Pelodiscus sinensis: one gene and its partners. The protein of the gene in region 1 interacts with the protein of each later gene in a biochemical or structural test. Links are inferred from orthologs where the notes say so. Each region holds a gene or a part of one and is shown on either strand. Other genes may lie near its edges. The genes, in order: LATS1, HTRA2 and MINK1.

Evidence for each region.
Region 2: the proteins of LATS1 (region 1) and HTRA2 form a complex in vitro, tested with the Homo sapiens proteins (2 studies listed by BioGRID, with this or other methods). The link is inferred for Pelodiscus sinensis from reciprocal best matches to the Homo sapiens genes LATS1 and HTRA2.
Region 3: of the proteins of LATS1 (region 1) and MINK1, one has a biochemical effect on the other in vitro, tested with the Homo sapiens proteins (2 studies listed by BioGRID). The link is inferred for Pelodiscus sinensis from reciprocal best matches to the Homo sapiens genes LATS1 and MINK1.

Annotation. Positions count from the first base shown.
Region 1 is NC_134713.1:106,438,950-106,449,600, reverse strand, and holds the start of LATS1 (serine/threonine-protein kinase LATS1), read left to right. Parts: upstream 1-6,095; 5' UTR 6,096-6,331; intron 6,332-10,651. UniProt on the Homo sapiens protein: Negative regulator of YAP1 in the Hippo signaling pathway that plays a pivotal role in organ size control and tumor suppression by restricting proliferation and promoting apoptosis.
Region 2 is NW_027465889.1:425,050-434,812, reverse strand, and holds the start of HTRA2 (serine protease HTRA2, mitochondrial), read left to right. Parts: upstream 1-5,199; coding exon 5,200-5,543; intron 5,544-8,563; coding exon 8,564-8,768; intron 8,769-8,870; coding exon 8,871-9,065; intron 9,066-9,428; coding exon 9,429-9,461; intron 9,462-9,763. Other genes in the region: lipid droplet-regulating VLDL assembly factor AUP1, read right to left, coding at 1,398-1,470, 1,555-1,742, 2,364-2,514, 3,054-3,191, 4,560-4,609.
Region 3 is NC_134734.1:8,341,052-8,351,033, forward strand, and holds the start of MINK1 (misshapen-like kinase 1), read left to right. Parts: upstream 1-5,692; 5' UTR 5,693-5,961; coding exon 5,962-6,018; intron 6,019-9,982. UniProt on the Homo sapiens protein: Serine/threonine kinase which acts as a negative regulator of Ras-related Rap2-mediated signal transduction to control neuronal structure and AMPA receptor trafficking.

The DNA of each region.
Region 1 (10,651 bases):
CTTATGCATCCAGTGAATGAAACAACAGTTAGCATACATTATTAAGTACAACGTTCTTTATTCCCAACTGCCTTTTGCACTTCTTACTTGGCAAGCATAAAAACAATCAGTAGTGAAATAAATGGTATTTTAAATATAGTGTTATAAGGGTGTTACAGTAGCTTAAAAGTGTGAAATACTTGAACTCTGTTAATGTTCATGCTATTGTAATAATACTCAAGTATTTTGTTCAGGGCCAAAACTTAGGTTCTTTTAAAGACAACCTAATAGAAATATTATTACTTTTAACTTGACATTTTTATATCTAAACATTCCCATGCAATTGTTATGCTGCTGCATGTCAACTAGAAGGGGAAATTGAATTTAATGGAATGCAGAAAAGATTGTTTAAATGGTGGATAGTTAAGTCCCATAAATCTAAAAATCTTGGAGCTGTAATAATCTAAGACAATGCTAATAGCACTGGTAAGGGCAGGTTAACGTTTGATATAGACATTATGCCTATACACTTTTGATCTGTAGAAAAATTATGTTTATAAGTTAGTCTTTATTGGTGCTAGACAGACAGACATCTGACAAGCATTATCCTGTTATGGTCAAGTTCAGATAATAAAGCATTCTTGACAAAGCTTCAGTCATGAGTTTTCTCAAAATTGATGGATTACTAAATCTAAGTGTTGCCAAACAAAACTCTCATAAAAGTGCCTAACACATGAATAACTTATGTCTAGCTTTTATAACAAGGAACCCTTTCTGCAATGTTTTTAATAAATGTGTGTTTTTCCACCAGAATTCTATTTACTCATTCTTATTGTTTATCTTTGACTTTTTATAATAAGCTAAATTTGGCCATTTTATAGGTTTAGTTCAGTGTCATTGCAGTTAACTGATAGATTATGTTCCCATTACACTTCTGGCCCTTAGGACAGCAATGAAGCTCCTCCATTCTTGTTTATTTCTGGCAAGTCTTGTAATATTTTCCCTGCCTGTGCCCAAGTTTTTTAGCTTTGCTTCCACAACTCTTCATAATGCTTCTCTCAAGCAACCTTGTTTTCACTTGCCTTCAGAGGTTTCTCGTTGCTACTCTGGTAATGGAATTAGTTTCCATCTGAAGTTGATCTTAATATGCAGCATGTGCACTTTAAGGCCCCACAATATGGTTCTACACTGGAACAAGGGTCCACTGGTACAGATTAGCATGTGTGATTGGGCCTGAATAGCTTGAGTTCTCAGGGGTGTAAAGCCACCTCCTAATTCTGTTGTCCTATCAGTCCATAGGTATATTGGAATATCTTCATCCGGGCAAATGATGAATAGCTAGCTTTTCAGCAACACAATTCACCGTTTGAGTGATTACATAGCTGTAAAGTTATAAAGCCTATGATATTGTCCAGAGGTAAAACTATAGGACAGTCATACATTCTGACTTCTATTCTGCTGATTTGCCTTGTGGCTCTGGGACAGTCACCCTTCTATGCAACTTTATTTCTAAAAAGAGTAATTTTATAAATCAAGGTGAACTGCTTGACAGGATAAAACTAAGAATTAGAAGACCGTACTTCATAGTTCTGCCTGTGATTTGGTATGGGCAAGTAATATCTCTGTTTGTTTTATTATTTATAAAATAAGGCCAATCGATTTTATTTACCTTTTGTAACATAGTTTGAGCTCTATGAAGAAAGATGACTGTGTGGAATACAAGTGTTAGACAGTAAAACATTAGCTCTTTCTAGCATTCAGGCTCACTGTATATCATGACGGTTGATTTGTCAACTGATACTTCTATGTGTGACTCATTACATGCACTTGTTAGGAACAGCTACCTCGAAGTGGTGAAAATTCTTGAAGGTTGGGTTCCATCTATACTCTGTATTTCTTTTTGTACCAGTATATGTACATCATTGTAGCTATATACTCGTGCAAACCCCTAATTTATACATTCTCCCCTATTGTAAAGGATAATATGTACTATTGCAGTTTACCTGTAAAAGATGCACTTGTACACGTTGAAATGATTTGTAGATAGACTATGTCTGCTATCAGTCTTTGTAAATCCCAACTGGGGACATGACTACAGATCTAGGATCAAGATAGAGATCATAGTGTAAGCATAAGCTTCTCTGCCACCAAATAACCACAGGAAAACTGGAGAGTATTCTGCATAATAGAAGAGAGAGTGCACCACTTAAATAAAATGCCTCAATTATAATTAAAACAGCTGTCCTTTTGACCATTTGCAGGTTTTGACAGGAAACTTTAAAACACTTTAAAACATGTTTATATTAAATAATTGGACATTTGTAGAATGCATAGGAAAGATTGACTTTCAGAACTGTACGGCACGTTATTTTTCTGTTCTTTAAAGGTAACCTACAGAAAAGCGGGTGGAGGAAGATATGTTTTGTTTTTCTGTTTCACGTAAGAAGTGCTGAAAGATGGGGTTAGGGATGGAGATGGAGAGATGTCTTAATTTTGCTAGCTTCGGGGGTAGCCAAGTTAATCTGTACAGGAAAGAACAACAAATGGTCTGGTAGCACTTTATAGACTAACAAAACATGTCGATGGTATCATGAGCTTTCGTGGGCACAGCCCATTTCTTCAAACTCTGCTCATCTGAAGAAGTGGGCTGTGCCCACGAAAGCTCATGATACCATCGACATGTTTTGTTAGTCTATAAAGTGCTACCAGACCATTTTGTTGTTTGTTTTTTAAATTTTGCTAGGTTTTCTTAAAATGGGAATTCAAGTCTTGTCTAAGCTGGAATGCTCTGATACCTGGAGAAATAGTGAAAAGAATATCAGCAAAAAAGGAGAAGAATTTTCTAATTGCCTTTCAAAACTCTTAAACAAGTTTTACACAAGAGAAAAAATGAACTTAAATGAGTTTGAATAGAAGTCTTAGACTTAACACCCTAGGCCCTTCAATTAAGATGGTCAGTGCTCATAGTAATTTAACGCTTCCTGCTGGTCCTCTAAAAACCAGATTTCACGTTTCAGGTATTTCTAAGGTTAAGAAGGCCAAACTGCTTTTTTTTTTAAACTTGTCATAGTTCCTTTTTCATGTATTTTTGAATTATTAGATACTTCATAATTATTTTGCAGATTACTGTAAAAAAAAAATATGCCTAATAGCAACTTAAAAGGCTGCTCTCTTCCTGTGCATTGCAGTGATGAAGTTCATTTTCTATGGTTCAACCTATTTTCCACCAGTAGTAGACTGAACCATCAACACCTCTGCTTTCTCCTCTTCCCTCCCCCCCAAAAAAATAATTCTCACCTAAATAGTCTTACCATTCATAATAAAGGGAAGTATCACTGTGCAGGGAAAGAGGGGCTAAAGGAGAATTCTCACGGGTTTTGGGAGGTGAGATTTAGATTACTGTCAGGGAGGGGAGAAATGGATTTTTTTGTAACTTGGGCCCAGAAAGTGGTCATTGCAGTGGTAGCCAGAGGTCAGCTGTAGTTGCATGTCACCAAAATTAGAACCTATGGATATTACTGACTTGGTACAGCCACTTTTCCAAGGATCTTTACATCTGTTTCCCTTTCTGAATACAGTAAAGTGAAAGTGACTGAATGATCTATGATAAATGTATTTTGAGTGTCTTATTTAATATTATACGTTAAATGTTAAGTTACATACACCATTAACTTACAAGGCTACTCTAACTTCGTAGCAGATAACATTTAGTGAATTGCAAATAATTCTATTGAAGGGTTTTTGCAAGAAAACAAACTTCACAAGCTAAGCTCAAATTTGTGTTCAAAATCACTACTTTGTATTTGTACAAAATGATGCAACATGCTCATTTTTCTTCAGAAGTTAGATAAAATATGCCACTACTATGCCAAATGAGGTGATGCAGCTTTTTGAAGATCTAGGCAGCTTGCTCTTGGATATATTTTTTTTTTGTGATAAGGCCTTATTTCCTATATCTTTATTTGTATTCAGAGTTTTTAACCTCTTGGGAGACCTTGATTTTATTTTTTGTACACGGTTATGAAGATTCTTGCGCCTTCAAAAGTCTCTCCCGTCTGAGCTAGGTTGAAAAGGGAACAACCTATCTCCAAGAGGCAGTGGTAGGGAGGAGGAAATGAGTAGTCAATATTTCACTCGAGTGCATGAAACCATAAGTTTATTGGGTAGTTGACTAGCTGACTACTTGCTAATGTTCCCAGGGCAGGAGTGTTATGATGCTGTGGCCAAATGGGGGCTGGACCCCAATTGGAGGCTTTTTGGCCAGGCTTCATTTTTAAATGAAGGAAAATATTATGTCCAACAAAATGGTTTCAACATTGTCTATAATTATGGCTGCTAAGTACAAGCTTATTGGGTAGTTGAGTGGAGTATTGACTACTTACTCCCTCTCTGTAGAGGCAGCAAGGGAGGGACCAAGAGCTGGTGCTGGGTGAGCCAGCTGGCTTAAAGGCTGATTTTTCCCCAGCACCATGTCTAGGGTGCTGCCTGCCCCCTCCCCTGCCTCTATTAGAAGCAGAGGGGGGAGATAAGGGAGGCTGTTCTGGTAGCAGCCTCTGTCCATGGTGGTCCCAGCTGTGAGCTGGGCCCCCTCATCGATAGGGGCTGCTGGACTTGTGTTGGTCTGGGACACTGCCTCTGCATTTTAAATGTAGTAAGAGCCCAGTGGTCCTGCTTACGTTTAAAATGCAAAGCCGCAGGGTGGGTGGCTTCTGGAGTTGGCATGACCTGGGACTGCTCAGTGCTGGCTCCTGGAGCTACCCCTGCTGTGGCTCTGTAGACTGCCCCTTATTAACTAATCATGTAATTGATATAAATTGTATGAATTACACGATTAGCTACAACTGCAATTTAACATCCTCATCTCCCTCCCCTTCCCCCACACATCCCAACCCTCACAGCCCATCATACACATGAACTTCTTCCCCTGAGCCCCTTATTCCCTGTACATCCCCAAACTCCTGCACCTCCCCAACCCCTGCCATAAGGTTGACAGATGACAGCCTGAATGCATGCATAAAGCTGGATTTGACCAATTTCGATAAAAACATCAGAGAAATGTGCACAAAAATGCAGCAAAAAGTCCCATTAAAGTCTGTGAGTACAATATTTAATTTATGCTACTGTTAATCATGTCAATATTAAGTTGCATATTTTCAGTCATGCAAATGGGCATTCTTATACAGCTGTTTGTTGACTCTGTGTTTTGAATTTTGATGTAGTTTGGCTTTTGGTTTTGAAAATGTTGCCGACCCCTGATCTAAGGCATCCAATTAATAGATGCTGTGCTGCTAGTATATTATATCACATCCCATAAAATTCACTGTTAAATGTAAGGATCTGTATATTACAGGTCATGGTTGCTATGAATTTTTTATTACAGTCCTGGGTCCTGTCCATGCCTTTTTCTAATAAATAACCCGGATAACATTTTAGCTGACCATATTTAACAGTTCTGTACCATGCTGCCGCGGTCAGTATTGGCAGTTAGGAAAGTAGAGCAAGCTTGTGACAAAATTGCATAGTATTTCACATCTCATTAACTAAAGACTTGTTGAATCCACCACATGCCGGTCTGCCTTCATGCTGCCAGTGGCAGATAAATTAACCAGGTGAGGGATGTACAGATGCATGGCCAATTTCATACTCCCTGGAACAAGTGACATAGAATTAGCTTGGGTCGGAGCCCGCTCCCTGCCAGCCCTGGGCCGATAGAAGCGAAGGCAAAGGAACCGCGCGGGGCCTGGCCCGTAGCGGGATGTCAGTGTTGTGTGGCAATGGCAGGCAGCTGCCGGAGCCGGGGAGCCCATTGCTGAGAAGGCTGCAGCGCGGCTGGAACTTGCGAGCTCCCGGTGACTGAGACTCGCGTAGGGAATCTGGGAGGGCATCAGCCACCCAACCAATCCTACAGGCGGATTAGTCCATAGGTTCCTGGTTGGGGGGGGGGGGAGGGTGCACTACTCGCCGCTGCCACAGCAGGAGGGAGGGGGGCGCGGCCCATTGCCTGCCCCCCCCCCCTCCCTCCCTCCCGCGTAGAGCCGGGCCCGGCACGCTGACTCGGAGATGCTCACATTCCAATCCGGAGGGGCGGGGGGAGCCGCAGGGGATACGCGCAAAGGATGCCGGGAACGGCCCATATCCGGGAAGCCCTCTGCGCCAGACCCACCGAGAACATGGCGGCCCGGAACTGAGCCCCACGGGGGGTGGGGGAGGGGACGAGCTGCTACCAGCCCCGGGGACCCGAACGGCCCAGCCGCCGCCCCGCGGGCGGAGCCCAGCGCCACACGCAGCGCGCCGCTCCCCGCCACACGCGTGGGCCCGGGGCGACGCCGCCGCCGCTGCCTTGTCCCCGCAGGTAGGTCCGGCTGCCGCGGGAGGGGAGCGCGGCCTGGGGCACCCCGTGCCCGGCGGAGGCGAGGCCCTACTGGGCTGCGCAGATTGACGCGACTTCGCCGCCTCTGGGCCCGGGGCGGGTGTGGGGGGAGGTGAGCGGCGCTGCCCCCGAGTGAGCGGAGACAATACCAGCCCTTCCCCGCCCCCCACTCTCCCCGCGGAAGCCAGGCCCCGCCGCTGTGCGACCCCGCCTCCCGCAAGGGGGTTCCCTGTCTGCAGCTCCGTGCCCAGCTGTGCCTCCCTGCCCAGCCCGCTTCCCTCGCCCCGGCACAGCGCTTTGCCCCGGGGGGGGATTCCTCTCGCCGCGGATTCCCCGTGTGCTGCCCCAGCGCCTCGCCTTAGCTGGGCAGGGGCTGGGCAGCACCGACGAGAATCCACTTTGTTTCCTGGGGTGGGTGCAGGGGTCTGCAGTCGGTCTCTGCAGCTGGATTTGTTATATATTTGAACCCTGGATTAAATTTTGAAGCGTTTCTCCTTGTTCACCCAAAATAAATATGGGGAGGAGGGAGCGGAGTAATTGAAATCGTGTGTGTGAGTGATTCGAGACCCAGATCTATTCACTGTTGAGGACTGTAGGGATGGGATGGCAACATACTGAGGAGACTACCCTGGATGAGAGATCATTCCCTGAACATAATGCTCCCTTATGGCCTCTTTAGCTGTTATCGGCACTGACATCTGCAGTCAAATAGTTATAAGAAACTAGGTTGGTTAGCATACTTTCATTTAAGTGAAACCTAGTTTAATTTGTCTGTGGGTATCTCATGAGCATCTCACCATTTTAATGATTTAAATTTGATTAATGTTCACACATCAGTCTAATTTCCATCTCTAAGCATCTAGATGTCACAGATAAGGGAGAATCTAATACTTGAGCAGATGGTATTCATGCTGCTCTGAATTTTTGTATATAGGTTGAAAAATAAAGTACAACGCTGAGCTGCAGGATCAGTGACTGTCTTGTACCAAGTACAACGCTGAGCTGCAGGATCAGTGACTGTCTTGTACCAATATTTTAGAGCATAAGAAAGGCTATATAGATTCAGCTTAATGTTTCATCTAGCCCAGTATCCTGCCTTCTGGTACCAGCAACTATTAGATGTTTCAGAGGAAATGAACAGAACAACTACCAATTGATCCCTTATCATCCAGGCCCAGATTCTGGCAGTCAAAGGCATAGGGAGACAGAGTGTGGGGATTGTCCCTGATTGCTAAAAGCAAATGACAAACTTAATCTCCATGAATTTATGTAATTATTTTTTTAATTCAGTTATGTTTTTGATCAACTCAACATCCCTGGCAATGAGTTCCATAGGTTGATTGCTTGGTGTGAAGAAGTACTTTCTTATGATTGTTTAAAACCTGGTGCCTATTACTTTCATTGGGTGACCACTGGTTCTAGTGTTATGTGAAGGGATAAATAATGCTACTTCGCTTTCTCTATACAGATTGTGTTTTTTCCATTATCATATGACTTCTAAGCTAAACAGATGCAGTTTCTTTAATCTTTCCTCATATGTAAGCTGTTCCATACCCATCTTAATTGTTGTTACTCTAAGCTATACTTTTTCCAATTCTAATACTACTGTTTTGAGATGGAGCAACAAGAATTGCATGCCGTGTCAAAGGACTGGGTATATAATGGCATTATAATATTTTCTGTCTTATTTTCTGACTCTTCCCTTATGTTTCCTAAGATGGTTAGATTTTTTGACTGCTGCTGCCCTAATTGGCCTGGGGGCGGGGGGAGCATCAGGTCCTCTGCGGGCCTGATCCACCCACTTGGCAGCTGGATCTGGCCCGTGGAGGCCTTTTTGCCCACCACTGTTCTACTGGTACAATCTCAGTTGAGGAACCAGTTCAATTTGGTTTCAAAGCAATGCAGTTTTCAAGCTCATTGGTCTTTAGTCTGTCTTGCTAAGACCACCAAGAAAACATTAAATTGTATGCAACATTTAGTACATAGCATTTGTCTTCTGAGGATCTCAAAACAGTTTACAGAGTAAGTATAATTATCTCCATTTTATAGATAGGGGAAAATTCCTCAAGGGGGGAAATTCCTGGGAAAACACTTAAATCAGTAATGAATTTGTAGTGATTTTCTATCACAGTGTAAATTGACAAATGGGATTTTAAGTAGCTTACATAGTAGTGATCTGATAGTAATTATTTCTGGGTGCTATAAATTTCAACTTTGAATTAATAACCTAAATGTTCTCTTATTACTAGCCCTCCTGAGCCATCAGATAATTTTGTTCAGGGTCTTGGATAAGTTTACACTCCCAAATACCTTATTCCTGGATGATAGTGAGTTATTTTTTAGTACCTTAAAATGTAACTACATGTTCACTTTTGTAGCCAATTATTCTTTAGAGCTTTTACTGTAATCACTTGGATGCAGAAAAACTTGTTTTCCATTATGTTGGTAAGCAAAAAAAAGTCAAGCTTAGAACTGGCAGTAAGTTACCTTTGCCTTCACTTTTCTTTGGGATGTGTGTGTATTCAAACACTGCAGTCACATTTCATACATTAAAAGCAATAAGTAATAAAACTAAAGAACAAAAATCTGTTTGCTTAAGAATAATTTTAAACAGTTGTTTTAATAACTCATGGCACACTTGCTGCATTATCATATTTTAAACTATTTATTAAACTTTTGCATTTTTGAAGTATTTTTAATGTTAAAGTTGCAGTGAAGATTTACATTTCCCAAATTAAGAGTTAAGGTTACAAAGGGAAGCTAGTTAGGTACCCTTATCTCTATATGCATTACAATTTAAATGAGATAATCCTATACTATTTTTCTAATAGATATTTTACAGGGATGGATTTTTTTTTAACAATTTATATTCAGACATGTAGCATCTTGTAATATATTATATATACTCAACACTCCCTGGAATTATATACCTGAAGATTTCTGCCATGTTTACTGAAAAACATAAGAGCACACTACACCATTGCATGAAAAAGGATTATATATTAAAAATGTGAACAACTAGAGGTCTGAGACTAGAGAGAACAGACATAAGAATGAAAATGGATTGAGAGAAAGTAATTATGTAGACTGTTTAAAAATACTTAAACAAGTTTAACTCAAATGTCTGATAAGACCAGGCTATTATCTACATCTTGTCCCTTATCAGGGATAAGAGAGTATCCTTTCCAGTGTCTGGGTCTTCCAAGGAAAGAATCTGGCAAAACTAGACAAAGAAGATTTGACATTAATATTTCTAAGCTGGTAAAAAAGCAGAAAAACTTTTTTGGGTGGTCACGGTGGAACATTTTAGGCCACTTTTATATTCAACTAGAAGACTTACCCAGCAGGGCAGGGGCCTGGTGGTGTGTTGGCAGGTGGGGCAGGGAGGGGTATAGAAGTGAAGGGCTGAAGGTGTGTGTGGGGGGGGTGAGAGTGAGATTTGTGCGGTAGGGAAGGGGGGCAGTAGGTTTGAAGGCAGGCAAGATGGCGGAGCCCAGCATTTTGTGCTGTAGCTGCCCTTAGTGTCTCTGAAGTACAGCTCTCCGCTGCAGACTTGCTGCCCCTAGTGGCTATTCTCAGTATTATGCCCCTCCCTTTCCATGTTATGGAAAAGAATCCCATTCCCAGCACTTCTGTTTTCTTGATGCAACCAAATCCTGACCTTGCTTTAAGTTAGGATAAGAGTGAGCTGCATACCAAATTTGGTGGTCCTAGCTCTTACCAATTAGGAGGAGTTTTTGAACAGATGGACTCAGAGACAGAAAAAAGGAAGATATCACAACTACTCTATTCCTTGCACCTTACGTTGTTGGTAGGAAGGAGTTCCTTTCCTGGGGGAGTCTTAGGAACTGCGCAACTTTTATCTTATAAGATGCATTCTGTGTGAAGCAGGGGTCCATTGTTTTTCTGCATACTTTTAAATTTTTTCTTGTTCCATCTTAAACTTTTTACAACATAAATTAACAACTATGGTCTTCCTGAGCTGTGTACACCTTTTGAGGTGTGTTTAAAAGCTTACTCTGGGTATACAGTGTCATGTGTTCCCTTAATGAGTCAAAATTTCATCAAACCAAAATCAGCTTTTACAATAACATTCAAAGGCATCTCTCATTGAGCATTATTTCCATGCCATATTTCTTCATTTTACCCACTGTGGCTGTGATGTTAGAGTTAACTTAGTCTTTAAAATTTATACAGTATGACCTTTTTTGAATCGATTTATTCTGCCTCTCCCCACCCCCACATTCTCCTTATCCTCAAAATGGTTGAATCTTTTGGCAATGATCAGGCTCAGGAGAACTT
Region 2 (9,763 bases), on another chromosome or scaffold:
CTTGTGACACTGACAGATTCCAGCTTTCAGCCTCAGCAAACATCCACATGCCTTGCTTGCCAGAGAAATGGCACTAGCTCTAGCTCATGTGACAGCAAAATAACCACTTACCCTCATCTGCCAAGTACAGAGCAACTCCTTCCTATCCCTGAGCCCATCATGTTATTGCTGTATCCGTCTGTTAAATCAGTTCCTCTCTAGCCAAGCCCAAATTCACAGCTTTCAAGGGGGCCAAACACATTTAACAGTGTCATTGTGGAGAGAGAGCTCACTGGGATGAGCATTGGCCTTCTAAACCCAGAGTTGTGAGTTCAATCCTTGAGGGGACCATTTAGGAATCTGGGGCAAATCTGTCAGGGATGGTACTTGGTCCTGCTGTGACGGCAGGGGACTGGAGTCGATGACCTCTCAAGGTCCCTTTCAGTTCTATGATCTATTATATTATATTGCTGCCATATTAACAGAAGCATCAGAGAAGAAAACTTGTCTGTGCTTCATGCATAAGTCTCAACCTCAGCTCAGCTCCTTGCGTGACCATGTGGTCCCTCAGGGCTCATCTATACTTATGGGAAGATCGACGCTCTGGAGGTTAATCTTCCTGGGTTCTATTTAGCGGGGTCTAGTAAGGACCCACTGACTCCATCTCTGATGGCACTGCCCTCAACCCTGGTACTCCACAGGGTCTTGACGAGTGAAGGCAGTTGACAGGAGAAACTCTCCCACTGACCTCCCACTGTGTGAACACTGAAGAAATTTGATTTAAAGCAGTAGTCCCCAACCTTTTGGAGCTGCCGGGCGCCCGGAGGCGGGGCCACCCATGCATCTGGGACTGGTGCTGCGCATGCAGGGCCGGCCCTGAGCACTTGGCGGGCGCATGTAAATGTCCCGGCGGGTGCCATGGCGCCCGCGGGCACCACGTTGGGGACCACTGATTTAAGGTATTTTGACTCCAGCTATGCGATTCTTGTAGCTGTAGTTGTGCATCTTAAATTCAATGCATCCCGTAGTATAGACCTGGACTCGGAGAATAACTTCCTGCACTTCCTGAACTTGTGGGTGTTATGACAGTAAGCATATTAAAATTGGCAGGATGCTAAAGTACTAATGACGGGAGCCAGAAAAAAGGCCTTGCCTAGACAGGCCAATCGTTACTAATATTACCACTGGAACATAAGAGATGTGAGAGAGGCAAAGACAACGTCAGTGAAGTGCCATGGGAGGAAGCCGAGAAGTGAGTGTGAGATGGCAGGAAAGAACCCCAAAGCAGAGCAGTAGACCACAAGGCACAAAGTAACAGCAATATTAATGCTCTAGCTATGACCTCCCCCGCCCTCCGCCCCAAGCTGTACAGGCCCATCATGGGATACAGGATCTTTGCCCCACACCTCTAGACTCACCACGGCAATTAAGGGCCTCTGAACTTGCAGGGCCACTGGTTGAATCACATCCAGAATTGAGAATGGCCAGGAGCTGGAAAGAAAACATCCCAGAGATTAACAAGGGCCACAGAGATGAGCTAAGGCTGTCCCCGGGAAAGTCCCCCATCACCACTACCTGAAGCGAAGAAGGCCAACTCGGCCATTAGTGGCTGCCTCCTCCGGGAACAGCAGCAGAGGTGGATTCCCCCGATGGGAAGAATACATCTTCAGGGAATCCACCAGCTCTGCCCGGCTCCCTACTGCCCCCAGCTCCATGAATCCCCGTGACCAACAGATGAAACCTGGTGTGCCATTCAAAGCAGGCTGTAAAAAAAAAGAGCACATACAAATCAGTGATCCTCACTCAGCCTCCCTCAAGAGACTCTACCCAGCGGGTTGATTTGGGTCCTAGCGTCCCAAAAGCTCCTTCCTTCCCCTCCCTGGACAGCACAGGAGCAGCTGGGTGTCCTCCAAACAGCTCTCAGTTATGAATGGGAGATGGGGGGCCTTGTTACAAGATTGGTTGTACCATCCTTCTCCCCACCAACACAAGTCTGTTGCTTTTCAGGACTGTTTGAAAGACCCTTATCACACAGCATCACACACTGCTTCCTAGGCAGGTGCAGATAGCTCTCTGCACTCACAGGAAACAGCCAGCACCCGGGGAAAGCCCCAAGCCCAACTGTGCTTCTGCTTATATCTATTTAAAGAGCCAGGAGGGTGAGGCAGAAGTGACAAGTTTGCTTGGATGGCTTGGTTCATTGCCTGTCCTTAACCTGAACCAACCAGAACCTAATAGCACAATACACAAGCCTAAAGAGACACTCAAGGCTTGTTCAATTATTTGTTAAAAACAAACCAAGGAGCCATTCCCAAATCCCTGAATAGGGAATTCTACCAAGGGAGGTGTATAAGGGTGTAGCCCAAGATCCTCGCATAACTCACGGTATTGCATGGGGTCAGCAGGTTGATGACACTGTGGTCGAAGTAAGTCACATGGTTGGCAATATAAACCCTGATGCTGGCATCCCGGAGATTGGGGTCACTTTGCCGCACAAACAGACCCAACACCGAGCACATCACACGCACGATAAACCTGATAACAGGAGCAGAGGCCCCCATCATGACCAGAACTGCTGACAAGTGAATAAAGACTAGGCTGTACAAGCACTATGGAATGAAGCCCGAGGGGCACCAGAAACGTGTCACGTGGAGAGACAGGGTGAGTGGAAGGAAGCTCAGGGCTGCATTTGTAGGGACACTGGTGGAGCTGTGTAGGGAGCGCTCAGGATTGGAATAGTGAGGGAGTGGTGTCAGGTGTACTTGCTGGCAATTTGCCTTGTCTCTCTCAGCCCTGCAGTTTGCACTTGGACAAGAGAAACACATTGTCCGGCAGGTCCTGGAATCACCAGCAAAGGAGCTTAGGGCTAATGAGGACAAAAGGCACGAACACAGAGCATCCACAAATATGAAGTGTACCCCTATCAGCCAGCCCCAAGAAGCCAGGGGTACGGAGCTCCCACTCCATTGACAGCAGAGGGGGACCCCACAGGACAACTTTACATACAGGTAGGAGATGGCTACTCACTGGATTTGGGGATGGAAAGCTCACAAGAGCCCCACGCTCACCCTCACCTGCGGAGCAGACTGTCTGGCAGAGCACAACTGACCAGGAAGACGTGGACGCCGATGAACAGGCGCAGGAGGAGCAGACAGAGTCCCACGGGCGCATAGAGCAGCAGAGCCAGCAGCAGGAAGCCATCGCTGGGGAACCTGAGGGGGAAAGAGGGTTCAGGTCAAAGTCCACTGCCAGGTGCTAACTGATCCACTGCCCACCTCCCGCTGCTCCCAGGTGCCCGTGCCCTGCCCCCCCGGAGAGCGAGACCCCCCCCCGATCCGCCCGCCCCCCCCGGAGAGCGAGACCCCCCCCATCCGCCCGCCCCCCCCAGGAGAGCGAGACCCCCCGATCCGCCCGCCCCCCGCGGAGAGCGAGACCCCCCCGATCCGCCCGCCCCCCCCCAGGAGAGCGAGACCCCCCCGATCCGCCCGCCCCCCCCGGAGAGCGAGCCCCCCCGATCCGCCCGCCCCCCCCAGGAGAGCGAGACCCCCCGATCCGCCCGCCCCCCCCAGGAGAGCGAGACCCCCCCGATCCGCCCGCCCCCCCCCAGGAGAGCGAGACCCCCCCGATCCGCCCGCCCCCCCCCAGGAGAGCGAGACCCCCCCGATCCGCCCGCCCCCCCCGGAGAGCGAGCCCCCCCGATCCGCCCGCCCCCCCCAGGAGAGCGAGACCCCCCCAATCCGCCCGCCCCCCCCCGAGAGCGAGCCCCCCCGATCCGCCCGCCCCCCCCAGAGAGCGAGCCCCCCCCGATCCGCCCGCCCCCCCCAGAGAGCGAGCCCCCCCCGATCCTCCAGCCCCCCCCAGGAGAGCGAGACCCCCCCGATCCGCCCGCCCCCCCCCGAGAGCGAGACCCCCCCGATCCGCCCGCCCCCCCCAGAGAGCGAGCCCCCCCGATCCGCCCGCCCCCCCCAGAGAGCGAGCCCCCCCCGATCCGCCCGCCCCCCCAGGAGAGCGAGCCCCCCCGATCCTCCCGCCCCCCCCGGAGAGCGAGCCCCCCCGATCCGCCCGCCCCCCCCCAGGAGAGCGAGACCCCCCCGATCCGCCCGCCCCCCCCGGAGAGCGAGCCCCCCCGATCCGCCCGCCCCCCCCAGGAGAGCGAGACCCCCCCAATCCGCCCGCCCCCCCCCGAGAGCGAGCCCCCCCGATCCGCCCGCCCCCCCCAGAGAGCGAGCCCCCCCCGATCCGCCCGCCCCCCCCAGGAGAGCGAGCCCCCCCGATCCTCCCGCCCCCCCCAGGAGAGCGAGCCCCCCCGATCCTCCAGCCCCCCCCAGGAGAGCGAGACCCCCCCGATCCGCCCGCCCCCCCCCCCGAGAGCGAGACCCCCCCGATCCGCCCGCCCCCCCCAGAGAGCGAGCCCGCCCGCCCCCCCCAGAGAGCGAGCCCCCCCCGATCCGCCCGCCCCCCCAGGAGAGCGAGCCCCCCCGATCCTCCCGCCCCCCCCAGGAGAGCGAGCCCCCCCGATCCTCCCGCCCCCCCCAGGAGAGCGAGCCCCCCCGATCCGCCCGCCCCCCCCAGGCTCTCACCGGTGCGCGTCGAAGAGCCGCTCAGGGCTCGAGGCGGGAGGAGGCTCCATCCCGGTCCCGAGCCACCGCCTCAGCGAGGCCCAGGACCCGCCGCCATCTTACCCACGGCGGCGCCCTGCGCGCGGGGCCCTCTGGGAAAGGGAACCCGCGTGCGCCAGAACGAGCCTCCCGGCATGCCCCGCGCGGCTCCCTGCCTCTCCCGGCCTGCCCCGCGCGGCGCGTCCAGCGTCTCCCGGCCTGCCCCGCGCGGCTCCCTGCCTCTCCCGGCCTGCCCCGCGCGGCGCTTCCAGCGTCTCCCGACCTGCCCCGCGCGGCGCGTCCAGCGTCTCCCGGCCTGCCCCGCGCGGCTCCCTGCCTCTCCCGGCCTGCCCCGCGCGGCGCGTCCAGCGTCTCCCGGCCTGCCCCGCGCGGCTCCCTGCCTCTCCCGGCCTGCCCCGCGCGGCGCGTCCAGCGTCTCCCGGCCTGCCCCGCGCGGCTCCCTGCCTCTCCCGACCTGCCCCGCGCGGCGCGTCCAGCGTCTCCCGGCCTGCCCCGCGCGGCTCCCTGCCTCTCCCGACCTGCCCCGCGCGGCGCGTCCAGCGTCTCCCGGCCTGCCCCGCGCGGCTCCCTGCCTCTCCCGGCCTGCCCCGCGCGGCTGAGCATGGCGGCGGCCCGGGCGCTGTGGCTGCGCGCGGCCTGGCGGGGGCCGGCCCGGGCCCTGGGGGCCGCTCCCTGCGCGGGCCGGGGGGAGCCGCGGCCGCCCCCTCGCGCGGGCCGGGCCCGCTGGGCGCTGGCGGGGGCGGGGGCGGGGGCGCTGCTGCTGCTGCTCTGGGGCCGGGAGCCGCCCGCGCTGCTGCCCCGGGTGCGCGCCGCCGTGCCCGCCCCCCCCGCGCCGCCCGCCCCCCCCGCGCCGGGCCCCGGCTCCGCCCGCGCCGCCTTCAACTTCATCGCCGACGTGGTGCAGAAAACCGCCCCCGCGCTGGTCTACATCGAGATCCTGGGCAGGTACCGCCCCCCCCGGGACCCCCCCGGAACCCCCCCGCCCCCCTGGACCCCCCCGCACTGGTCTACATCGAGATCCTTGGCAGGTACCGCCCCCCCCGGGACCCCCCCGCCCCCCCGGGACCCCCCCCGCACTGGTCTACATCGAGATCCTTGGCAGGTACCGCCCCCCCCGGGACCCCCCCGCCCCCCCGGGACCCCCCCCGCACTGGTCTACATCGAGATCCTTGGCAGGTACCGCCCCCCCCGGGACCCCCCCGCCCCCCCCGGACCCCCCCGCGCTGGTCTACATCGAGATCCTTGGCAGGTACCGCCCCCCCCGGGACCCCCCCGCCCCCCCCGGGACCCCCCCCGCGCTGGTCTACATCGAGATCCTGGGCAGGTACCGCCCCCCCCGGGACCCCCCCCGCGCTGGTCTACATCGAGATCCTGGGCAGGTACCGCCCCCCCCCCCCCGGGACCCCCCCCCCGCGCTGGTCTACATCGAGATCCTGGGCAGGTACCGCCCCCCCCCCCGGGACCCCCCCGCCCCCCCGGGACCCCCCCCGCGCTGGTCTACATCGAGATCCTGGGCAGGTACCGCCCCCCCCCTGGACCCCCCTGCGCTGGTCTACATCGAGATCCTGGGCAGTACCCGCCCCCCTGGAACTCCCCTGTCCCCCGGGACTCCCCTCCTGACCCCCCTGGTACCGCGCCTGCGGTGGTCTACATCGAAGTTTTGGGCATGTACCCCCCCCCGAACCCCTATGCTGGTCTACATCGAGATCCTGGGCAGGTACCGCCTCCCCGGGACCCCCCCGCCCCCCCGGGACCCTCCCGCGCTGGTCTACATCGAGATCCTGGGCAGGTACCGCCCACCCCCCCCCCCGGGACCCCCTCCGCCCCCCCGGAACTCCTCCGCGCTGGTCTACATCGAGATCCTGGGCAGGTACCGCCCCCCCCGGGACCCCCCCGCCCCCCCGGGACCGCCCCACGCTGGTCTACATCGAGATCCTGGGCAGGTACCGCCCCCCCCGGGACCCCCCCGCCCCCCCGGGACCGCCCCACGCTGGTCTACATCGAGATCCTGGGCAGGTACCGCCCCCCCCGGGACCCCCCCGCCTCCCCGGGACCCCCCCGTGCTGGTCTACATCAAGATCCTGGGCAGGTACCGCCCCCCCCGCCCCCCCGGGACCACCCCCGCCCCCCCGGGACCCCCCCGCGCTGGTCTACATCGAGATCCTGGGCAGGTACCCGCCCCCCCGGGATCCCCCCGCCCCCCCGGGACCCCCCCGCGCTGGTCTACATCGAGATCCTGGGCAGGTACCCGCCCCCCTGGAACTCCCCTGTCCCCTGGGACCACCCCCACCCCCGGGACTCCCCTCCTGACCCCCCTGGTACCGTGCCTGCGGTGGTCTACATCGAAGTTCTGGGCATGTACCCCCCCCCCCCCCCCCCGAACCCCCATGCTGGTCTACATCGAGATCCTGGGCAGGTACCCCCCACGCTCTCCTGGACCCTCCTGGCCCAGCTGGTACCACCGCCTCCCAGTATTGCCCCAGTGCTGGTCTACATGGAGATCCTGGGCAGCTACTGCCCGACCTGCTCTCCCCGCCCCGCAGCATCGCCTGGCTTCAACCTGCTCCCAGTACTGCCCCTTGTGAATCTGACCTGCCACTTACCCCTTCCTGCCCTTGTACCATCTCTCCTCTCACCTTGTTCTCTCCTCTTCCAGAGAAACTTTCCCCATTCTTCAAATCTGCTTCCCCTCCTCTCCCCTCCCCGCCCCACCCATACTGACCCCCAAGTGTTTCCCTAAGTATGTGTCATTTGATTGGCTGCATAGAAACCCCTGCTGCTGTGTTTGTGTGTATCACTCTTGGGTCGGGTGCTCTCTAGTAAGGATGTAAAATCCACTTAATTAGTTAACCAGTTGAATGTTAAGGGGAGCTAGTTATCTGATTAAACAGTGGTAGGGGAATTTCCATCCACTAGTCCTTAGGCACTTCCGCATTTCTCCTTTGAAATGGACAAAAGCCCCAGTGGGGACTCTTGTGCATTTCAAAGTTGGAACTCTGCATGCAGCCGAGGGCCAGCAGGACTTCCCCTTGGTCCCAAGTGTGCCAGCTTTGGAATGTACAAGAGTCCTCAGCTGACCACGGGATCCATGCGGCGCTGCCCCTTTGAAATGCCTCGACGCTGCCACTTTAAAGTGCCCCCTCTTCCCTTCCCCTTTGCTGCTGCTTCTATCTGATAGAGGCAGCAAGCAGAGGAGTGACTAGTCGACTCGACTGTCTGATTAGCATTTGCTTATTGGATAGTTGATGACTGCTCAACGTTTCCCTCTACTCTCTTCTAGTCAGTCCCTGGCAAGGAACGATTCAGTTGCGCCGCCGTGCGCGCTCGTGCTCATGTATGTCAAAATCCTGGGTGGGCATTGAACCGTCTAGCCCGGGGTGGGCAATAACTTTAATGAGGGTCGCGGGTCGCTCTGGAAGGGGAGGCCCTTTAAATAGCAGGAGGCGAAAGGGCTCGCAGCTCCCAGGACTTGTGAGCCCTTTCAACTGCTTCTATTTAAAGAGCTCGCACCTTCCCTGTGGCTGCAGACAACGCGTTGCCTGCCAGGATAGGGAAGGTGCAAGCCCTTTAAATAGAAGCAGTTGAAAGGACTCCTGCATCTCCAACTCCCAAGCAACGCGCTAGGAGGTGGGGCCTGGAACTGCTGTCCGGGCCTGATTCAGCCTGCCAAGAGGCTTTTGTCCACCCCGATCTAAACTGTTGTCTGCCTGGAGGAAACCTGTCCCTGCCCTAGTCTGTCTAGAGATGTCTCTCACCCCTAGCAGAGAGCCATGGGAGGGGCCTGTCTCCTATGCTGGTGCTCAGGTGAGCAGAGGTGTGTGTTCTGGCAGGAGGAGAGATTGCTGATAGGAAGGAGGGGAGCCAGTGCCTTGAAGAAAGGGGCTTGCGGATTTCTGTGGTGGTTTCTGCCCCCCATCCACACTGACTGGCTTTTCCAAAAGCTACCTCTGGTTCTTGTCCTGTAGGCATCCCTTTTCAGGCCGGGAGGTGCCCATCTCCAATGGCTCTGGCTTTGTGGTGTCCCCAGATGGTCTCATCGTGACTAATGCCCACGTTGTGGCGAATCGGCGGCGGGTGCGGGTGAAGCTGGCTAGCGGGGAGCTCTACGATGCCGTGGTCCGTGAAGTCGACCAGGTGGCAGATATTGCCACCATCAAAATCAACCCCAAGGTGTGTGGGGGCCAGGAACGTTTCACGGGACTAGCCCCTGCATTGGCTGCCTGCAGGTCTCTTGATAGAGCTGTGCTGACCCGTGCTTTCTCTTCCCCCCAGCAACCTCTGCCCACGCTGCCCCTGGGCCGCTCCGCAGAGGTGCGGCAAGGAGAGTTTGTGGTGGCTATGGGCAGCCCTTTTGCTCTGCAGAACACCATCACCTCCGGCATTGTCAGCTCTGCTCAGCGAGGCAGCCAGGAGCTGGGCCTGGCCGATTCCAACATGGAGTACATCCAGACCGACGCTGCCATAGATGTAAGGGGAGTGTGGGGCGGGGGAGGGCAGTGGGGGCACTGGCTGAACCCCACAGTTTGTGCATTTAGAAGAATTTTGCTGCTAGTTGGGGTGGGAGCTGGGGAAGGGGTCTGCATGAGGGGAGTGTTCAGGCTGTCCCTTGTAGGAAGAGCAGGGAAGCAGGGGATCTGGATTCTGCCCCAGGGCCATTGGTTGTGTTTGCTGCCTGTGTAAGCCAGAGGCACTGAGAGGGAGCCTGAGTCTGCACAGCAAAGGCTTCAGTCTCCCGCTCAGTGCCTCTGGCTTACGCTGACCACCCTGGTTCTCGGATTTTGTCTCTGCTGCTGCTGTGGCTTAACTCTGCCCCTTTCTCTCCTGCTGCAGTTCGGGAACTCGGGGGGGCCCCTCGTCAATCTGGTAAGTCCTGCTGTTTGGGTGTCTTCCCTTTTTGGGGGGAACACAGTGCCCCTTTGGGCTGCGTGCTCCAGCCCTGGCTAACTGGCTGTGTGGAAGTCGGGATGCCCACCTCTTGCTGCCAGCAGGGAGTATAGAGATGTCTATTCATCTCCCAGGCTCTGCTCTGGCGTGACCGAGGTAACAGCACTGGGGTCTGCACTGCTGCCTGACCCATCCCAAGCCAAGTTGGTGTTGGGTGCAAACTGGTGGAAGCCTGAATAGGCTGGGCTTGAGCCCTTCCTGACACCATGTCCCTCCTCTCC
Region 3 (9,982 bases), on another chromosome or scaffold:
CTCAGTTTCCAGTGGGTCAGGGGCTGTCTACATGGGTAGCAAAGATGTGACTGCAGCACAGACCAGCATAACCTGGCTTGCTGCAATCTGATTAATGTGGGGAACAACCGCATGGTGGGGAGGCTTCAGCAATCATGTCTAGCTCATGTCTAGCCCTGTCTAGCTCATGCTGCACTCAAGCCACCCCTGCTCAAAGGAGACAGTCCTGGCAGCTGCCCGCCAGCCCACGGTGCAGCCCAACTAACGGCAGCGAAGGGCAGAAACATACCCAGCAGCCATCCTCTGCCCCCGCTTCAACCATCTACTCAGCCCCGCCCCCAGGCTTGCCGAGGCCTGTAGGGGGAATGCTTCGGACCTAGCCAATTCACTCCCCTCGCGCCACAACACCAGCCTAGAGGCACCATAGGGCCTGGCCCCTGGTACCCCATAGTGTGGGAGAGAACAGGGCCTGACCTGACCCTCAGTTCAAGGGATCCACTTGAGGGAGGGCCCTGGCACCAAAATCTCATTGGTGCTCAGGAGGCTACAGGGCATCTCTAGGGGGCACTGGCTCTGGTTCAGTCCCAGGGCTGGGGGCACAGGCTGGCTCATGAAGGTATGGATGGGCTCTGGGGATCTGTCCCTTCTAGGGGGCACCAGCCTCCATCTAACCCCATGCAGGCAGTATGGAACACTACAGCTGGAAAGGACCTCAAGAGGTCATCAAGTCCAGTCCCCTGCCCTCACAGCAGGACCAAGCACCCAGGGCTACTTAACACATGGCCTGTGGGTCATGTTTGGGTTTATGTGGGGATCAACATGTGGCCAGCGAGTGGGAGCCAAAACAAAAAAGTAGTCAGTGTAATGATCTTCTGTTGATATGCATTTTAGTAGGTAAATTCTTGGACTGTCATTGCTCATGAAAAGTGCTGTCACATGGGTAGAAATCAGGTAAATGTTGCATTTTAATATCAGCAGAACTGACTTAAATGGGGCCTGTGTGTTGTATAGTCTTGCCTTAATCTTTACATTCATTCCTGTCAGTGTAAGAGAAGCTATTTGTATATATTTGCTTGCATATGCAACCAGACTTAAGTTGCAGCCCTCAGCATGTTCTGTAAGTATCAGTGTGGCCCCTGAGGCTTCCAAAGTTGAGTTGCCCTAGCTCATCCCTGAAAGGTGTCTGTCTAACCTGGTCTTAAATATCTCCAGTGATGGAGATTCTGCAATGTCCCTAGGCAATTTATCCCAGTGTTTAACCACCCTGACAGGCAGGAAGTTTTTCCTAATGTCCAACCTAAACCTCTCTTGCTGCAATTTAAGCCCATTGCTTCTCATCCTAACCTCAGAGGCCAAGGAGAACAATTTTTCTTCCTCCTCCATATGATACTCTTTTAGATACTTGAAAGCTGCTCTCATGTCCCTTTTCGGTCTTCTCTTTTCCAAGGTAAACAAGGCCAATTCCTTCAGCCTTGCCTCATAGCTCATATTCTCTAGACCTTTCATCATTTGTGTTGATCTTCTCTGGACTTTCTCCACGTTTCCAGAAATGTGGTGCCCAGAACTGGACACGATACTCCAGCTGGAGCCTAATGTAGGGTATGTCTACACTACAAAGTTAATTTGAACTAACGGATGTTAGTTCGAATTAACTTTGATAGGCGCTACACTAGCGCTCTGCTAGTTCGAACTTAATTTGAACTAGCGGAGCGCTTAGTTCGAACTAGGTAAACCTCATTGCATGAGGACTAAGCATAGTTCGAACTTACTAGTTCGAATTCAGGGCTGTGTAGCCCCTTAATTCGAACTAGTGGGAGACTAGCCCTCCCCAGCTTTCCCTGGTGGCCACTCTGGGCACCACCAGGAAAGTCGTATGCCCCCCTCCCGGCCCCGGAGCCCTTAAAGGGGCACGGGCTGACTACGGTGCCCGTGCCAGGTGCAAGCCTGCCAGCACCCAGCCAGCAGACCCTGCACCTGGCACGCCATGAGCCAGCCACCCGATGCCCCCCAGCCCTCCGCCTCTTCCTGGGACCAGGCTGGCGGCTCTCGGGAGCCTGGCCAGGACTGCAAGAGGCGGGCACCTGCCTGGTATAGTGCAGACATTGTGGACCTCGTCCACGAACTCCGCACTAGGCATAGGAAAGTGGCCGTCTAGGGCAGGAGAGCTGCCAGCCTGGCCACCCAGGAGCAGGTTTGCATGAAAATCAAGGTGGTCCACTGAGACCCCCGACCCTGAGCCCTGAGCTTAGAATGGCCGTACTGGGTCAGACCAAAGGTCCATCTAGTCCAGTAGCCTGTCTGCCAACAGTGGCCAACCCTAGGTACCCTGGAGGGGATGGACCAAAGACAGTGACCAAGCCATTTGTCTCGTGCCATCCATCTCCAGCCTTCCACAAACTTTGGGAAGGGACACCATTTCTACCCCCTGGCTAATACCACTCCATGGACCCAACCTCCATGGCTACGTCTACACTGGCCCCTTTTCCGGAAGGGGCATGTAAATTTCACTAGTCGTCGTAGGGAAATCCGCGGGGGATTTAAATATCCCCCGCGGCATTTAAATAAAAATGTCCGCCGCTTTTTTCCGGCTTTTAAAAAAGCCGGAAAAGAGCGTCTAGACTGGCCCCGATCCTCCGGAAAAAGTGCCCTTTTCCGGAGGGTCTTATTCCTACTTAAAAGCCGGAAAAAAGCGGCGGACATTTTTATTTAAATGCCGCGGGGGATATTTAAATCCCCCGCGGATTTCCCTACGACGACTAGTGAAATTTACATGCCCCTTCCGGAAAAGGGGCCAGTGTAGACGTAGCCCATGACTTTATCTAACTTCTCTTTAAACTCTGTTCTAGTTCTAGCCTTCACAGCCTCCTGCAGCAAGGAGTTCCACAGGTTGACTCTTTGCTTTGTGAAGAACAACTTTCTGTTACTAGTTTGAAGCCTGCTACCCATTCCTTTCCTTTGGTGTCCTCTAGTCCTTCTATTATGGGAACTAATGGAAAACTATTCTTTATGTACCCTCTCCACACCACTCTTGCTTTTAGACCTCTATCATATCCCCCCTCCGTCTCCTCTTCTCTAAGCTGAAAAGTCCCAGTCTCTTTAGCCTCTCTTCATATGGGACCTGTTCCAAACCCCTGATCATTTTAGTTGCCCTCCCCTCTCCCAGCCTTTCTCTTCCCCTCTCCCACCTCTTTTTCCCAGTCTCTCCCAGTTTTGTTCAATAAAGAGAGATTCTATTTTTGAACACACGTTTTCTTTATTTTGTACATCAGGAAGGGGGGCTAGGGAAGGGTAAGTGGAAGGAGGTGAGGGAGGAATGGGGTACGCGCCCCCGATGGGGAGGACTGGGCTGGCTCTGCGGGCTTCTTGGGGTGGAAGTTCTCCTGCAGCCCCCTAATTGCCCCCTCCCCCCGGATGGCAGCCTGTGGCAAGTGCAGCCGGGCTGATGGCTGAGTGCTGTGATGTTCCGTGTGTGGGCACTCAGGGCACTCCAAGCCAGGACTGCTTTGCAAGTGGGGAACCCTGAGAACTGTCTGTCCGGGGTGGGGGTCGGGTCCCTTTAAGCACAGCCCTTGGCTAGCCTGAGACAGCAGCTCCACGCTCTAAGTCCTCATCTGATGCCCTGCTGGCACTGCTTCCGGCCATCCTTAACCTCTGTTCAGGGTCCACTCTGTGTGGACATGCTAGTTTGAATTAGCAAAACGCTAATTTGAACTAGTTTTTAAGTCGAGATGCGCTAGTTCGAATTAGCTTAGTTCGAATTAGTGCTGTAGTGTAGACATACCCCCTGATAGCTCATTCCCTGCCTAGGGGACGTGAGACTGGGTGGGTTAATTTCCAATCCTTGGCTGCATCTAGACTGGCAAGTTTTTCTGCAAAAGCACCCGCTTTTGTGGAAAAACTTGCCAGCTATCTACACTGGCCTCTTGAATTTGCACAAGAACACTGACGATCTAATGTAAGATTGTCAGTGTTCTTGCGCATATACTATGCTGCTCCCGCTCGGGAAAAAGCCCTCTTGCGCAAATGCTTTTGCACAAGAGGGCCAGTGTAGACAGGTAAAAACTGTTTTGCCCAAAAAAGCCCCGATGGCGAAAATGACGATTGGGGGCTTTCTTGCGCAAAACCACATCTAGATTGGCACGGACACTTTTCCACAAAAAGTGGAGAAACTTTTCCATTAAAAGCATTTGTGGAAAATCATGCCAGTTTAGACATAGTCCTCCTGTTTATTTTTTTCCTAAACCAGGAGGGCACAATGGTTCTGATGGGAGCTCTGCAGGGAGGCAGCCCGCACTGCCCCCTGCCTGAAACCTTGTGCAGGTGTTAAACAGCTGTCCAACCCACCCTAGAGGTGACTGCATTTCAGCATGCCTGAAGCAACACAGCACCAGCAATGGACAGGAGAATGGCTCCTGGGCATGGCTTTCTCATGACTGCTTCAGTCCCATTGAATGGGCCTCAGCTTCTTTCCTTTCCCTCGCCTGCTTTGCAATGGGGCTGTAGGCTCTGGGGGAGAGAGGTGGAGGCAGGCAGAGGTGTCTCCCTGCAGCAGATGTAGACACGTTTCTATATTAATCATTCTCTCATTGAAGTTTTTAGCTTTGTATTGAGTCCTTTTACATGGAAACTTTGTATTATGTCTTGGTAGAATAGTCCCTAGGACAAGTGAAGCAGAGACCGTCCCTGTGGGGTGAATGAGGTGGGATTGTATAAGGTGGAAGATGAGCACCTTTGGGCAGTTGCAAAGGTTGGAGAGGGGCTGGAAGCCAAATCCAAGATCAATGAGTCCTGGGAAGTGGGCCCATTGAAAGGAGACTGGATCTGTGGATGCCTTGGGAGTCAGCAGCAAGGGCCTGCTTTGCGAAGCCCCCCCTCTTTGGGGGTAAATGTGGTAGCATTGAGACATCACCCAGAAGCAGGCCCCTCAGACACTAGCTGCAGATTCATGGGACGGCTCTCACAGATCTTGCACATGCATAAGATGACCTATCATCTATCTGCAGATCTATCTGCAGGAGAGGGGGCAGTGGCGTAGCGAGGGGGGCCAGATGGATCATCTGCCCATGGGCACCATGCTATGGAGGTGCCAATGTAATCCCATTCTGCCCCCCCCCCCCCATCCCTCAGCTCATGTGCTCCTACTACGCCTGCCACCGGCAGCTGGAGCCTCCTCCCTGCCTCTCTGCTCCAAGCCTGACCCTCCTCCATCTCCATCTCCACTGGTGGGTTAGTGCATGCAGGAGCCCGCCCCAAACTGTAAGGGGTGGGGGAAGATGCAGTACAAGTTCCCCTCAGCTGCACCGGGTTTGGGGCCATGGCACTGCACCTCTTCCAGAGCCTCCTGCCCCAAGCTATGAGGCCAGCAAGGTTGGGGGCGGGAGCAGTGACCCGGCTGCTTTGCTCCCCCAGTGACAAGGACTAGTGGCAGCCAAGCAGAGCAATGCAGCCCGGAGATGGTGGGCCAGCCCCTCCCTGCTCTGAGCGAGCCCCCACCCAACAAGGAACAGGCTCCTCCCTGCTTTGCTCATTGGCCCGCCACCCTCAGGAACAGGCCCCGCCCATGTATTCCACCCTCCCTGCTCTGGCCCGAGGCCCCTTCCTCGAGGAACACGGAGAAAGGCGGGAACATCCTCCTTGCACGCGCTCAACCACCCCACCCTTCCTGCCGCCCGGCTTATGCTTCGCGCACGCGCGGTCCTGCCTCTTTCCTAGATTGCGCCTGCGCATTGAGGGGAGGGAAAGACGCGCTCTTTCGCCTCACTCCCAGGAATGCGAATGCGCCGAACCTTCTTCCCACACCGCTTGCGCGTTCTAGCTTCATCTTCCGCCTTACGTTCCCAGGCCGCAGGCGCTCCCGCCCAGTGCGCTGGCGCATGCGCAGTGCGGTTCCTGGGGCTGCTGGTGCGAGGCGGCTGCGCGGATCCCAGCGCCGGATCCATGGGGCTGCAGTGAGCCTCCGGCCAGGCCCCGCCCGCCCCGGACATGGCCGACCCGGCTCCTGCTCGCAGCCTGGATGACATCGACCTCTCAGCTCTCAGGGTAAGCGGGTGTGGCTGTGTCGCGGAGGGCAAAGGTCAGCGGCCCTGGCAACGGAGTCAAAGGTCAGAGGGGCGTGACTTGTGGGGGGCTACAGGTAGGGGACTGCCCCCGCCTCCTGTGGGGGAGGGGCCCCTCGGATAGGCCCCTTTGGGGAAAGAGGCCTCCCTGCGCTGGGGCACAGACCCCCGTGCCCTGCTGCGCGGAGGTTAACGGGGGACGTGCCTGTTCGGGGCCCTATTGTGGGGAAGGTGTTAGGGCTAAATGAGCCCTGTTGTGGGAGCTGCAAGGGCCCCGCCATCTCTGCTGTACTCTCCTCGTTGTCCCTAGGCCGGGGGGGCTTGGGTTCCCCCAAGAGGAGCTGTTGTGCCAGGAGACGCCAACCAGGGGGATCCACGTGCACTTCCCGTGGGATAGTTGTGGGGGCCACTTCTAGGGCATGCCAACCACACTCTCCATGGCTGCTACAGCAGCCCAGTTCAGTGTCTGCCCAATATCCTTCCCTACCCCAGTCGCTGTTGTTACCCCAGCTCCCCATCATGCCCTCCCATTGGCATTGCTGTTGTTACCTTGGCTTCTAGTCACCCCCCCCACACACACACACACATCACTACTGTTATTCCAGCTCCCCATTCCCTCCCCCTGTCTGTTCTGGCATTGCTGCTGTTACCCCCACTCTCCATTCCCTCCTCTGCTGTCTGCCCCACTGTTGTTGCTCTTACCCTAGCTCTCCCCCACATTTGTCTGTCCCAGCATCACTGCTGTTATCCCAGCTCTCCGTTCCCGGCCCCCCCGACTATCCATCCCAGTGTCACTGCTGTTATCCCTGTTCCCCCTGCTGTCTGCCCCAGTATCACTGTTGTTACGATTGCCCCCTGCCGCCGCCCCACCCAGTTGTCTACCCCGGCATCACTGCAGTGGCCAGGACTTGCCATTCTCCACACCTCTCGCTGTCATTACATTTACTCTGGCTCACTGTTCCCCCACACACTCTTATTGTGTCCCCCCCCCCAGCTTCACTGCAACGAACCTGATTCCCCATTTCTCTCGCTTTTCTCCATCGCTACAGTGACCCTGATTCCCTGCTCCCCACCCCCAGCACCACTGCAGTGACCCTGATTTGCTGTCCTGCCTTTACTCTGTCCCCTCATCCACACACACAGCATCGCCACTGCTAACTTGACTTCATGTTCTTCCCCTTTGCTTTCCTCCCCACTAGTGTCACCATGGATTACCCCATTGCCCCATCTCTGCCATGATCTCACTGGCTCTTCCACATGCATATTACTGCATTACTCTGTTCTCTTCTCCCCTGTTTAGACTCTGCTTACTCAGGTGCGCAGTGGTGGGGCTGGGAGGGCCAGTGCAGAAAGTAAACATGTAGGTAGCTGGCTCTGGTGGCAAAGCAGGGAGCTGTTGTTGCAGTGGTTTGCAACAGAGCATGCATGGTGGCACTTGGACATGGATTATGCCCTGTCCTGACCCCCATTAATCTGCTAGAACACAAATCTGATTCTCTAGTGTTCAGTAACCGGCCCTGTCTTGGAGTATTAACCTCTGTAGCACTGGGCTAGTGGTAACCCCCTCACCAGCCCTGCAATGCTGCCAGCACCTGGGTGATTCAGAGCCCCCCCTCACCCTACCGGGCTCCGTTAGCACTAATGAGCGGTAGTTCTTTAGGTCCTTGCTGCAAAAGCTTGGCAGTGCAAAGCTCTGCTCCTGGTTGAGGCGAGCTGGTGAATAAAGATTAGCCCAGCATGCCAGGGATTTCTGTGTAATGTACAGAGCAGAGTTTCTGAAATGGAGTACTCATGCCCTTGACCAGGAGAACCCCTCCCATCAGTATAGGTAGTGTCCATGCAGAAGCACTACAGTGGTGCAGGTGTAGCGTGCCAAGTGGGAGGTTGCTGTAGTTGTACCGGTATTATCACTTGTCACAGTGATGTCTAATGCTTTTCATCAGTTGACCTCAAAGTAGATCAGTATCACATCCTCATTTTACAGGTGGGGAAACTGAGGCAGAGTGAGTATGTGGCTTATCAGAGGGCACTAACTGATGAGTGTCGGAGCTGGGAATAGGTCTCCCAATGCTCTATCCAAGGCAACACTGCCTTTGTACCAGTTTAACTAGACCTCTCCCATAACCATTGTGCTGATATAAATCATCAGCTGTCCTGAAGTCCCTGGCACAGCATTCTTTTTTTACAGGAATCGGTTTATAATTGCGTTTAATAGGAAAAAACCCGAAGTGTCTGCTGCAGGTTGGCCTGTGCTGTGAATTCTCGCCTCCATCAGCAGAACAGCACCGTGAGCCAAGCTTCAGAATGTGATTACATCTCGTTTCAAACCATACTGAGCTGCTGTCTCTCTCTCAGACAAACTAGCACAGGGAGGTTTCGTAACACCGCCTCTGTGCAGTTGTCATTGCTGGTGGGTGGCTAGAACTTCTCAGCTGGCTTCAGTCTTTCTCTTCTTCCCAAAGGATCCCCAAACCCTCCTTGCGTTATTTATTCATATGTGGCTAGCATTGATGGTCTCCACTGAGCACAGTGTATCTTCACAAAGAGAAGATATTCAGTACCAAAGTGTGCTCTTTAACCTATCAGGAGCAGCACAAGAACCCACTGCCTGGCAGATGAAGCCAGACACATTAATGCGGGTTTTGTACAGTGTGAGTGATTAACCATTGGCCCAAATTGTCTAGTCTCCATCTCTTGATGGCATCTGGTTAAACCACATTAGCCCAGCACAAAGCTTTGGGCTCAAAGGGGTAGCTTTGTAGAATTCTCTGACTTGTGCTCTCTGGGTGTTAATTAGGGGTCTGATGGATCCTTTAGCCTTAACACCTGGGGCTGGGCTAGGTGCTGTGCCCCTGCCAAACAAAAGGCACCAGAAATCATCTTGTTCGTAGAGGCTGGGGAATGAAAATGGAAGTCAGCACATTTAAAAGCAACCAAAGGAGATACGCTGTGCACTGCATTGAAAAAGCATGTGGAACTTTGTGCCACAAGAGTCCAAGAACTTAATGGGATTTAAACAATCAGACATTTGACATGGGTAATAGTGTGGATTAAAAAGCAAAGGGAGAGTGAAACTCTTGGTTTGTTTTACCTCCTCTGGGCTGAATGGACTCTTGGTCTGGCAGTTGTGCATAGTAGTTTAGGACAGGAAGTGATACATTCATTATCTGATTGGAAGCGCAGGGGTTGGGCATGGTGCATTTCTGAAGGAAAGCCCTGATATGCATCAGCGTTTGCTAACTGGCAACCTAAGCACAAAATCTGTTCGTCCCACAATCGTGAAATATTGTCAACCTTACTTTTGCCCAGTTGCATAGATGAAGGCTAGAAGAGACTATTAGATAATCTAGTACCTTACAGGCAAGATAATTTCACCCACCTCCCCCTGCATTGAGCTCAAGAATTGAGCTGGGCTAAAGTGTCTTTGAGAGGCTCCAGTCTGGATGGGAAGGCTTGCCCTTTGGCACTTGTTTCAATGGTTAAACACCCATGCTATGGATGCATATGCCTGATTTTTGAATGGGAATTGGCGAGGCTTTAGCTTTCAGCTATTTGCTCCCCATGCAGGTACTTACAGACCAGGATTAATGTCTTTGCTAAGATGGATACATTGAGTTGCTTTGTGAGGTGTGTTTGCCAGCCCTTGAATCTTTTTTGTAGTTCTTTTCTGAGCCCTCTCCCATCTTTCATCTTTCTTTTTTTTTTAAAGGGGGGATGCTAGTACTGGACACAGTATCATAGCCATCAGCTCCCTTCTCAGGTTTTCCCAAAAGGTCTCGCTTAAGCCCTGCCAGTAGAAGGTCTTTGTTTGGCTTACTTGGTCTGAGTGGAATGGTCATTTGGCTGGAATGCACCAAGTGTTAAAAAAGGCATATGAGTTGAAAACTAACCCCAAACCTGCCATGTGGTGGGTCTGTCCGTATCAATGTGGGATGAGGGCATTCTCC